Notamacropus eugenii: one gene and its partners. The protein of the gene in region 3 purifies or fractionates together with the protein of the main gene of each other region. This does not show direct contact. Links are inferred from orthologs where the notes say so. Each region holds a gene or a part of one and is shown on either strand. Other genes may lie near its edges. The genes, in order: PPP1R11, PPP1R7 and UBXN2A.

What was found.
Region 1: the proteins of UBXN2A (region 3) and PPP1R11 purify together in Homo sapiens (affinity purification with mass spectrometry; 3 studies listed by BioGRID and IntAct, counting the BioPlex papers as one, with this or other methods). This does not show direct contact. The link is inferred for Notamacropus eugenii from reciprocal best matches to the Homo sapiens genes UBXN2A and PPP1R11.
Region 2: the proteins of UBXN2A (region 3) and PPP1R7 purify together in Homo sapiens (affinity purification with mass spectrometry; 3 studies listed by BioGRID and IntAct, counting the BioPlex papers as one, with this or other methods). This does not show direct contact. The link is inferred for Notamacropus eugenii from reciprocal best matches to the Homo sapiens genes UBXN2A and PPP1R7.

The regions. Positions count from the first base shown.
Region 1 is NC_092873.1:83,983,430-83,987,171, forward strand, and holds the start of PPP1R11 (E3 ubiquitin-protein ligase PPP1R11), read left to right. Parts: upstream 1-1,278; 5' UTR 1,279-3,090; coding exon 3,091-3,174; intron 3,175-3,742. UniProt on the Homo sapiens protein: Atypical E3 ubiquitin-protein ligase which ubiquitinates TLR2 at 'Lys-754' leading to its degradation by the proteasome.
Region 2 is NC_092877.1:378,106,575-378,110,316, reverse strand, and holds the start of PPP1R7 (protein phosphatase 1 regulatory subunit 7), read right to left. Parts: upstream 2,231-3,742; 5' UTR 2,142-2,230; coding exon 2,087-2,141; intron 1-2,086. UniProt on the Homo sapiens protein: Regulatory subunit of protein phosphatase 1.
Region 3 is NC_092872.1:761,347,734-761,351,475, forward strand, and holds the start of UBXN2A (UBX domain-containing protein 2A), read left to right. Parts: upstream 1-1,146; 5' UTR 1,147-1,291; exon of another isoform or gene 1,292-1,353; intron 1,354-3,742. UniProt on the Homo sapiens protein: Acts to repress the ubiquitination and subsequent endoplasmic reticulum-associated degradation of CHRNA3 by the STUB1-VCP-UBXN2A complex in cortical neurons.

The DNA of each region.
Region 1 (3,742 bases), on a different chromosome or scaffold from region 3:
CCATTCCAGTATCTTTGCCAAGAAAACTCCAAATGGGATCACAAAGAGTTGGACGTGACTGAACAATAACAACACAAAAATAGGAAAGACAGGTTTAGGAGGAAGGCGTTCTGCTTTAGACATGTTGAGGCTAAATTTGTGATACGGCACTAGATCTGTAAAAGATAAGAACTAAATATTTCCATTTTTGAGTCATCTGTATAGATGACTTAAACCCATGACTCATTACACTCATAGAAGTCAATAAGATCAAGGCAGATTGCCCAAAACAGAGCTCTATGTTACATCCACACATAAAAGTGTTTAAAATGATCAAACCATTGAAGGAGACTGAGAAGGAAGGGTCACACTGAAAGGGGACTATAAAAGCAATTTCATGAAAACCCAAGAAGAGTGTCAGAAAGTGAGGGTGGAGTGCAGTGTAGAGGGTGTCAAGAGTATCATGCTTAAACAAGGTTGACAGAAAGATGAAGACTGAAAAAAAAGTCACGGAAGTTAAAGATTAAGAGATCATTAGTAACCTTTCAAGCAAGCAGTTTAAATTGATTGGTGGATTCAGAAGCCAGACTGCAAAGGATTAAATGGAAAGTGGAGAAAATGTAGATAGCTTTTCTTTCTAGGAGTTTTGCAGTAAAAAGAGGAATACATATAAAGGGTGTCCCAAACTTAGTGCAGTTTTAAGATACTGCAATATTAAATTTTATGAGCTTAAAATTGCACTGTCTTTTTGGGATACCCTGTATATATAATTGATAGCCTGAGGGAACAACAAATCTGGGCATGTTTGTAGAGAACAGGGAAGGAGCAAGTACATAAAGATTAAAAATTAGAGGACAACTGATGGGGAAAGCTTAAAGAGAGGACAGCAAGAAATAAGATAGCTCAAGGGCACAGGTTGAAGGAAGTTAGCCTTTATGAGGACTACCTCTTCCTCTGGTACCAGTGTAAAGTAATATAGAAGGGGACAAGGGGGAACCAGAGTGGTGATGAGGAGATATGAGGTGAAGAGTTTGGAGGAAACAGTGACTCACAATGAATGACCTTAATTTTATCAGTAAAGCACAGTAAAGATATTTTGCTAGAGGGGAGGGGAGAAGAATGGGGTAAGCTTATAAGAAAAGAAAACTGGAAACAATCCATGTGGGGAATACAATGGGAGTAATCTATTAGGGAAGAGTAAAATATTTGCAATTCAGCTGTGACAAGTTGCTGTTTCATGATGTGTTATGGTGGAACTGTCTCAAAAAATTCAGTCAGACCACCTCTCATTCAAGTATAAGCATTTATTAAGATTGACGCCTCATGAAGCAGGCTAAGTTTGAAGAGGAACCAGCAGCTTCAGAGAAAGCAAGATAGATTTCTATAGGGTAAAGATGCAATTATGTAACAGAAATTATGAATATTTAAAAGGCAGGAGGGGTTTGTTAAGGGATTAGGTGTAAGGGATTAGGTAATAGGGGAGGGGTCCCACCCACAGTAGAACTGCACGTATGATTACTTACAATGTATTCAGAAAAACCCATTTGGGGAGTATGTATGTATAGTCTTTCTATGTCATAAATTCATCTAAAGGACAACTTTTGCTATTACTTCAAAGGTGCTTACTTATGGAAAATCCCTTCTACCGTTTTGAGGTCCACATCCTGCTTGAGCCTCCTGTGGTGCTGCTTTCTGATTGGCTCGGTATTGTGGTCCGGTCTGAGACCACAAGGATGGGGTTGTGGTTGAGTGCATGGAAATACCTGCTGTTTCTGTGGGAAATAAGAGAAATGGGTCTAGGGGCGGTGACTAGCTAAAGGCAGTGGCTTCGTAGAGGCAGTGGCTGGGATCCCATCACATGTACACACCTGCTGCTTCTGTGAGAAATATGAGTTCAAGGACACACCTGTTGTTGTAGTGAGCAGTGAGACATAAATGAATAAGTGAAGATATTGATTGGGGGTTCGGGGACGGGGGCAGTGGGCCTGCAGTTCAGTGGAGCCTATAAGGAAGTTAGAATATTGGGGCTGCAGGCAGCTTTATGAGGATTCCATCGGTGAGAACCCACTCCACTGCCATGAACAGATCTATGGTGCTGACATCCTTCGTTGGCATTCAGCAACCAGAAAGTAGGACCAAAGGTGGATGGCAGAGGTAGGTCAGAAAAGAACACTGGAAAGGAATGAGCAGGACATAACACAGTGTCACCATTTCAAAGGAAGGAACGTGCTGCCAGAGTAGGTGTAATGCCCACGACAAAAGCTTCCCACAAAAAACAGCAGCTTTTTCACCAGCCTTTGTGCCCAGCGACAAAGAAAACTCTGAGACGGACTGCACAACATTAAGGAATGTTAACCGCTGTAATCACTGGTAATTTTTCAGGACTTCAGGCATTTCCGTGAGTCTGGGGGTACACGAGCTACGTCCACTATCAAACTGCATGACCTAGGAGGGACCAACGTACTGGTCAAGCAGGAGCGTCTTAGAGAACTCGAGGCGCGCTCCGCATCTCTCGGTTTCTGGCTCACCAATTTCCCCGGGCCTCCATTCCTGCGGAGAATGAGGAAGGGATGTTGTTTTGATGGGAGGACCTAAGATTTCGCGTTTCCTCCAGCGCAGAGGGATCCTTTGTCTTCCCAGCGGCAGATCAAGTTGGACAGCAGCTGGTGCCTGTGCGGAGCCGCCTTCCTCCACGCCAACGCGGTCGCTTCACTGCTGCGCTTGCGCATCTGGCCCTGACTCTTGCTCGTTGCGCGGCCTCCTTCGCCCAGCGGGCGCCCCCAAGCGTTCGTAGACTCTCGGTCAAGTAGCCTTGGCTCCCTCGCCGATTACGGCGGAAGTCGTTCTGGAGCGCCTGCGCCTTTGGCCGTTTACGATTAGTGGGGAGACGAGCCGGGTGCGGAGGAACGTCATACCCGGAAGTCAAGAGACGGAAGTGGGGGTGGGCTCCTTGTCCTCGGGGGGCGGGGAAGTCGAGACCAAAGAGGAGCAACAACAACTCGACCCTGACTCCTACTTCCCCCGACGCCGGAGGCTTAGACTCACCCAGAGAGCCAGAGAAAGGAAGATTACGCCTCCCCCGACGTCCTTCTCCCACCCTCAGCCCCCGCCATGGCCGAGGCCACGGCTGGGCTGAGCGAGACCGTCACCGAGACATCGGTTACTGTGACAACCGAACCCGTGAGGAGGACAGGGGTGTGGAGAACCTAGCGTAGACAGGGAGAGGATGACGGAGGAGAGGGGGAGGGAAAGGATGCCCGAGGGAAAGAGTGGGGGAAGGGAGGGGAGGAAAAGGATGCTCGAGGGGACAGGAAGGGAGAGGATGGAGAAAGGCGGCCACGGGGGAGGGGTCAGTAGCGGTGGGGAGCCGATTTGGGAGGAATACGTCATGGATTTTCAGGGAACGGAAGAAGTCTTGGATGGGGGTGTCAGGATCAGGACCCAGTGTTTGGCTGGGTCTTAAAAGAGATTTGGAAGAGGGCATCAAGGCAGGGTTGGGTGATCAGATGAGAAAGAGGAACTGGAAGGAGAGGGACCTGAAGTCAGACAGCAGCTTGGGGACGAGATGGGGAGCTGTGAAGTGTTTAGGAGACTAATGGGAAAAAATGCTTGGAGTCTAGAGGTTGGGGAGGTTGGACTTAGAATGAGATTGGGGGGAATGCTAGGCAGGAGAATGAAGAGAGACAATAGGATGATCAGGACCTGGTTTAAGGGTAAGAACTTCCGACCCTCCCACCTCCCTCACCCATCTTCTGCTCTTGAC
Region 2 (3,742 bases), on a different chromosome or scaffold from region 3:
ACCACCTGGGTCCTGCTGGCCAGGCAGCTGAGGAGGGCGGACCGCCCCACGGGGCACCTGAGGAAGCCCTGACGGCACAGGTGCCCCCGCCCGGACAGGGCAGCCCGTGCCCGCGGCGCTGCCGCTGCCTCAGGACAGCCGTCTGAATGCTCGGTGGTTTAGGACACATCTCAGTCTCTCCTTCTGCCGTTCTCGTGACTCCCCTCCTCTGGACACCCCACGGGGCCCGAGCCTCCGAGACCCCACGGAGCCCGTGCCTCAGCCCGAGCCTCCGACACCCCGCGGCGCCCGGGCTGAGCCTCCGAGACCCCATGGAGCCCGAGCCTCAGCCCGAGCCTCCGACACCCCGCGGCGCCCTAGCCTCCGACACCCCACGGGGCCCGAGCCTCCGAGACCCCACGGAGCCCGAGCCTCCGACACCCCACGGGGCCCGAGCCTCCGAGACCCCACGGAGCCCGAGCCTCCGAGACCCCACGGCGCCCTAGCCTCCGACACCCCACGGAGCCCGAGCCTCCGACACCCCACGGGGCCCGAGCCTCCGAGACCCCACGGGGCCCGAGCCTCCGAGACCCCACGGAGCCCGAGCCTCCGACACCCCACGGGGCCCGAGCCTCCGAGACCCCACGGAGCCCGAGCCTCAGCCCGAGCCTCCGACACCCCACGGGGCCCGAGCCTCCGAGACCCCACGGCGCCCTAGCCTCCGACACCCCGCGGGGCCCGAGCCTCCGACACCCCGCGGAGCCCGAGCCTCCGACACCCCGCGGAGCCCGAGCCTCCGAGACCCCGCGGGGCTCGAGCCTCTGACACCCCACGGGGCCCGAGCCTCCGAGACCCCATGGAGCCCGAGCCTCAGCCCGAGCCTCCGACACCCCGCGGGCCCGAGCCTCCGAGACCCCGCGGAGCCCTAGCCTCCGACACCCCGCGGGGCCCGAGCCTCCGACACCCCACGGGGCCCGAGCCTCAGCCCGAGCCTCCGACACCCCGCGGGCCCGAGCCTCAGCCCGAGCCTCCGACACCCCGCGGGCCCGAGCCTCCGAGACCCCACGCTCCTTGGAGCGGATCGCCAGGGAGGGCTGTATTCAGGAGGCGGGGCACGGCCGTCCCGCGCCGGGCTCAGCAGGGGGGCAGCCTGGCCTGGCGCTCTGAAGGGGGCGGGCACTCCACGGGGTCTCCTGTTTGACAGAGGAGGACCCAGGAATGCCCACGGTCACACGGGCCCCAGGAAGCTGCGCACAGAGGCCCTGGAGGACAGCCCGCTCTCCCTCCCACAGAACGCTGCTTTCACGCGGGGCACTCCTGTCCGCCCGCGGAGGCTTGGGCCGCTCCCTTCTCCGCCTGGCCAGTCCCCACCCAGAGTTCAGAGTCCACTGCCAGGGCGCTGCCCACCCCTGCGTGCCAGGCGCTGGAGACATGGAGACGAGGGTGACCAGCCCCTGGCCTCGAAGGGCTTAACGTGTCCGTGAGAGAGAGACCCTGTGCCCAGGCCGGGGTGTATATGGGGAACGCTGACTCTGAGTCTATCCAGGGGCTCCTTGTGGGAAGATGGTGGGGGGGCAGGGAGGGGGCCAGCAGGGACCGTCAGCGCTTCCGTGCACTGCACCCCAAAGCACCCGCTGTGTGCAAGGACCCCCCCCCCCCCCCAACCCCGGGGCTCACCGCACACCATCCGCCTCTGGGAACTCTAGGTTCCCACCGCGGCGCCTCTGCTCCGGGCGCTGCCCCCGCCAGGAATGCCCGCCCCCAACCCCAGGACGGATCGGCTGGGGAGCGCTCCCGGATGGCAGGGCCGCCGCCTCAGGCTCGGTCCCCCCAGCACCCGGAGCGGGGTCTCCAGGGGCCGAGGGTAGCCTGGACAGGGGAGGCCGGCGCCCTCCGCCCCCACCGGCGCGTCCCCCAGTCCGGAGGGCGGGCGGCCCGCGCAGCGCGCTCCGGCATGCCTCAGTTTCCCCCTCCGGAAGGGGGACGCGACGCTGGGCCTAGGCCACGGACGCGGCAGGGCGGGCTGGATCCACGCGAGCCTCGAGGGAGGAAAGGGGCCCACCCCGCCCCCGCCGCCCGGGCCGCCTCCCCCGCAGGGGCCGCTCACCCTCCATCATCTCCTGCGGCGGCTGCTGCAGCCCCGCGCCGCCCCCCGACGCCATGTTGGTGGCTCTTCTCTTTTCCGGAAGCTGTCGCCGCAGCTCCTCAGCCAATCAGGGAGTCGGATTCAGCCGCCGGCAGGCCAATCGGCTTCGCCGTGGCTGAATGACCGGAGTGGCATGCGGTGCGCATGTGTGGCTCCCGAGGCCTCTTGGGAGTTGTAGTTTCAAAGGGGAAAGTTGTGACAGCTGGAGGGAGAGGGAGGGGCGGGGAAGAGGAGATGGGAGGGAGGAAAGGAAGAGGGAGAAGGGAAAAAGGGAAGGAGGAGGGCCAATGAACGAGGAGGGGCTGGGAACTGCGTCCGGAATGGGAGGAGGAGGGGGAGGACGGGAGGCTGATGTGACCTGGGGAGGAGGCAGCACGTGCTGCTGGCATCCCCGGCGCAGCCCGGGGCGGTGCGGGCGGCTCCCCTGGTGCCAACGCCCCCTCGGGACGAGGACCCCGGGCTGTTCATCCTTTCGGGGGGGAGCCACTGGACAGCCAGCGGCATCTCCGGAAGGCTCCTTCTTTCCGGGAAGCTGTCTGGGGCAGGGGCTTCTCTCTCTCTCTCTCTCTCTCTCTCTCTCTCTCTCTCTCTCTCTCTCTCTCTCTCTGTCTCTCTCTCTCTCTGTCTCTCTCTCTCTCTGTCTCTCTCTCTGTCCTTCTCTGTCTCTCTCTCTCTCTCTTCTTTCTTTCTTTCTCTCTCCTCTCTCCCTCTTTCTCTCTCCTCTCTCCCTCTCCCCCTCTCCTCCTCTTCTTCCTCTTCCTTCTCCTTTTCAGAGCCCAGCACAGACTAGGCACCTCGCTGAGTCCCCACCCCGGCTCCAGTCTGGTGACACTGGCCTTCTTGCCTCCATCTCCCGCCTCCAGGCTCTTTCCCTGACTCCCTCCGTGCCTAGCACTGCCTTCCCCTGGCTGACGCTGAGCCAGACCCGGTTGGCACCTTTCCTGGCAGGCCCTCCCTCCTCCCTCCGCCACGTCCCACAGGCAGCCTCGCCCTCCCCTTGACTTAGGTGCCTTGTCCTGGGGATTCTCTCTAGCTCATCCCGTCTTTGGCTTGTGGGGTGCTTCTCCCCCGTTGAGCTTTAAGCTCGGGGGGCAGGCGCTGTCTTTCTGTGCCCCCGGGGCTTAGCCCACCGCAGGGCACGTGCTGGGCGCTTGTGGACCGACTTCTGTCTTTGCGGTCCGGCCAAGAGCGCAGCGGCTCCGAGCCGGGTCCTCTGTCTCCAGGCGGCTGGTGTGACCCTGGGCAAGTCCTCTGCCCTGCGGGATGCCCCAGGAGCGGCGCCATCTCCGCCGTCTTCCATCTATTAGCCGCGCTGCGAGGCTGGGCTGGGCACGGGCGGGTCTGACACCGAGATCCAGCCCGGCCCGGCGGGGAAGGCCGGATCCCACGCGGGGGACCGCGGACGGGGCGAGCCGGGAGGGCTGCGTGGAGGGGACGGCCGAAGGCCGCCGCGGGCCCCGGGGACGGCCTGGGCCGGTGCGCGGAGAAGTTCCGTAGGCTTCCTGGAGGGAGATGGGCTCGGGACGCGGAGCGGCGCCCGCAGTTGAGCAGCTCCGGGAGCGTTCCCCTTTTGGCCCCCGCCGGCCCCCGTAGCCCAGGCTCCGTGCGTCCCTAGCA
Region 3 (3,742 bases):
GACTTCTAAAAAGGGAGAAAGGGTGTCAAAAGACCCACTCCCTTTCCAAACCCAACTGGCCCACTCCCCTCCCATTAGAAAGGGAGCTCCTTCCTTAGTAGCTTAGTCCCTCCACTAGTCAGTGAATGGGCAAGCTTTAAGTGCCTACTAAGTGCTGGGCAAGTCCAGGGACACATGGGGCCTCCCCAATCCCAGCTCCTCTCCCCTCCCACTGCCATCATCCCCACTCTCTCCCCGTCTCCTACTGCCCACAGACAAGCCACATCTCCCCCATCACTCCTTCCATCCCTGCTACTGTTCCTTTTCTGGCTAACCTTGAGAAGGCTCCTCCCCCTCTCACTCTCTGCTTACCTTTGGGCTTCCAACCTCATCCTTGCACCAGTAGTGACCATCAGTCGTAGTTGCCTCACTGTCCTCCACCCCTCTGCAGCCTCAGACACCATCCATCATGATTTCCTCGAGGTGTTCAGAACATCCCACCCCCACCCCCCATTCTCCCTCTCCGTCCGCCCTGCCTAACCATGGGGGTCCCCCGGCGCTCTGTCCTGTTCCTCTCCTCTTCTCCCTCTAGACCACTTTCCTGGGGGAATCTCCTCAGCTCCGTGGATTTGATGACCGTCTCTGAGAGGGTGACTGCCAGATCTCCCTGTCCTGCCCCAGCCTCTCCGCAGAGCTCTAGTCTCTCCTCCCCAACTGCCCATCAGACATCTCCAGCCGGATGTCCAGTAGACACATGCAGCTCCTCTCTGTCCCCCCACCTCCCCGCCTGCCCTGGCCGCCCCTCTGGCTCCAGGCTCTCAGCCCGGGCAGCCGCGGTTCCTCCCTCTGCTCCGCCCCCCCCATCTGGTCAGTTTCCAGGTCTGTCAGTTTCACGGGCTCCGCCTCCCACCTCCGGGCCTTTCTCCCGGCCCGGCCCTGCCCAGAGCTGGAAGCCAAGCCCGGACTGGCCTGAGCCTGCGACCCGAAGGTCACCCCAGGCTCCTCTGGGCCTGAGCAGTCCGCCCGCGGGCAGGGCAGGAACTTGGGGACTGGAACCCAGCGGGGGACATCCCCCCGCCCCGCCCCCGGCTCCCCAGGGGGTGCCCAGCCTCCGACCCTCCCCCGCGGGGGCTTGGCCCGGGCCTCCCGCGGGCTCGCTCCCGCCGCCGGGACTGCGCACGCTCGTGCACGTCCGGCCCGGAACCCAGAGGAAGAGGAGGAGGAGGAGGAGGAGGAAAAGTCAGGCCTGGGGGATCAGCTTGGAGAGTTAGGCGGGCGTCCCGGCGGTGCGGACGCGCACGGCTGCGAGCAGGTGAGAGAGGAGACCTAGGGGAGAGGCCTGGACCCTGGGCTGACGTGACCTCGGAGGCAGAGGTGGGTGGGGACCTAGGGGGAGGGGAGAGGCCAGTGCTGGGTCCAGGCGTGGGGTGGAGACTGTTTCAGGGGTTCACTGAGTAGGTGAGCAGAGCCCGGCCGACCGCAGACTCTGTATGTGACCTGAGCCAGGAGTTGGGGAGGGGCCCCTGGGACCGAAGCTCCTTCGGAGCTCACCAGCAAGGTCTGGGCAGGCCCCCTACCGCAGGGTGTCCCCGGACCTCCTCCCCTGAGCTGTGCTCCCCCTCCCTCACCTGTACCCTGCCCTGACTGGGGGATAGGGGCGGGAAATGGACCCCAAAGGAACCAGCCTGGGGAGGGCCCCCAAAGGAGGGCTGAGAAGGGTGGAGCCCAGCTCCCCCCATGCCATGGAGAGCCACAGGGGCAGTGAGACTCCAAGGATTGAGAAGACAGTGGAGACGGGGAAGTCTGGTGTGAATGTCAGCCTGTGAGCAGTGGGGAGGCAGGCCCTGGAAGCTAGAAAAGTGACCAGAGGGGTCAGAGGAAGTCTCTGAGGAGAGGAGATGATTTTGGGGGGAGGAAAGGGGGGGACATGGACAAGACCCCCAGCCAGGAACACCCAGGGAAGAGGAATAAGACCAGACCCTTGAGCGCATGAGGTGGATTTGGCACACTGTAGCATGGGGACCCTGGAGCAGCCTGGTCGTTCTAGGCACCATGTTTGGGAACCCAGAGGACACTGCAGCTCAGAAGGGCGGTGAGTTGGAAGTCATAGGGCTAGTCCAAGGACCTGGGGGTGTTTAGGGCTTGTGTGGGCCTGGCTGCCTGCACCCCTCCCCCATTTCCTCCTTTTCTCATCTTTACCACTTTGGGTTAGGGGGAATGAGGAGACACCAAAGTGTTTTGAAATGAGTTTATTGCCACTTTGGGGTTTTTTGTCGCAGTCCTTGTCAAATATATTCTTTTCCCAGGGAGGCCTCACTTAATACAAGAGTCCCTTCCACCTTCCTGTAGCTTCTCACCCCCGGGGTGCCCCACCTTGGCCTTGAAGGGAAAGTGGTGCTCAGTCTCCTTTCTGGATCCTGGGGGCTCTTTGTATGACTGGGGTCGCCATCAGCAACGCCCTTCTCCTGACTCTGCTCAGCCCCCAGACCCTACCTGCTGCCTCTGCCCATGCTCCTATAGGGTCTATGTGTTCTCCATAGCTCAGCCCTCAAAACCCTTCCCCCACTGACCCCAGTTACTTTGAGGCCTGCAGAAATGGTCTGTGCATCAGGGAGCTATGTGTCTTCTGAATCTTGAGGTCAGAGGGGAAGCGGAAGGGTGTGGGTCACTGGTCACTCCACCAACCAACAGCGTGTCTTTGTCCTGCAGCTTCTCTCCTCTGACAGTTTGCTGGGTCTGATGGACCATGTCACGGTTATACTCATGTCCACTTCCCTGATTTCTCTTCTAGTGGTCATTAGTAAGTTGGCTAGTCTTCTAAGAAGTGTTGACCCCTTATCCATTGGGGATAGCTCTTGGACATACACATACTTGTGTATGCGTGCATCTACATACACATGAACATGTGTATATGCGTGTGTGTATACCTTTGTATCTGTGCCGGTGTGTGTCTGCGTGTTTTACGTTTGTTTTATGTTCTAGTTATAGTAAATTTTTTGTTTAGTATTTAATATTCGTCCATATGTGTCTTGGACAGCAAGCCCTTCTCACAGGTATTTGCAAAGATGTTTTTCCCCAGTTGTTCATTTCCTTCTCATCTGAGGTGCATTGATTTTGTTGGTGTCAAACTTTTTAATTTCACATCGCTGAAATTATCTATTTTGGTTCAGGGTTCTTTGCCAGTTGTTGCTCTGCCTTCCATGCTCTGATTTCTTTAAATCTAAAAATGCTTTTACTGGTACCTTGCCTAAATTTCCTCAAAGTATTTCATTAGATTAAATGAAATAACTACTTGCCAGACTCTCGGCAAATCTTAGTCTAGATAAATGGTAGCCATCGTTATTAAGTCATGCTGTTCTTGGGGGCGGGGTGTGGGGGTGGGGGAATAGGTGTGGACTAGACCATAGGTAATGTAATCTGATGAATGCTTGGGATGGCCAGACTCAAAGAGAAGTCAGTCACTCCATAAACACTTGTAAGGCGTCTTCTCTGTGTTCCAAACACTGCCTGTGGGGGGAAATGCAAAAAAGAGGCAAAAGACATTCCCTCTGAGAGTTCACAATCTAAGGGGAAGATGAGCATACAAACAGAACAATGTCTAGCTATGTAAAAGGAATAATTGGGTACAGGGATGTTTGAAGAAGACCAGCCCCCCTGGCATGAGGGCTGCTTTCCACCTCTAGTGTCCACCTGATTCACCCAACTCTCACCTCTGTCTCCAAGAAGCTGGAGCATGTGCAGCAACCTCGCCCCAGTAAACTGT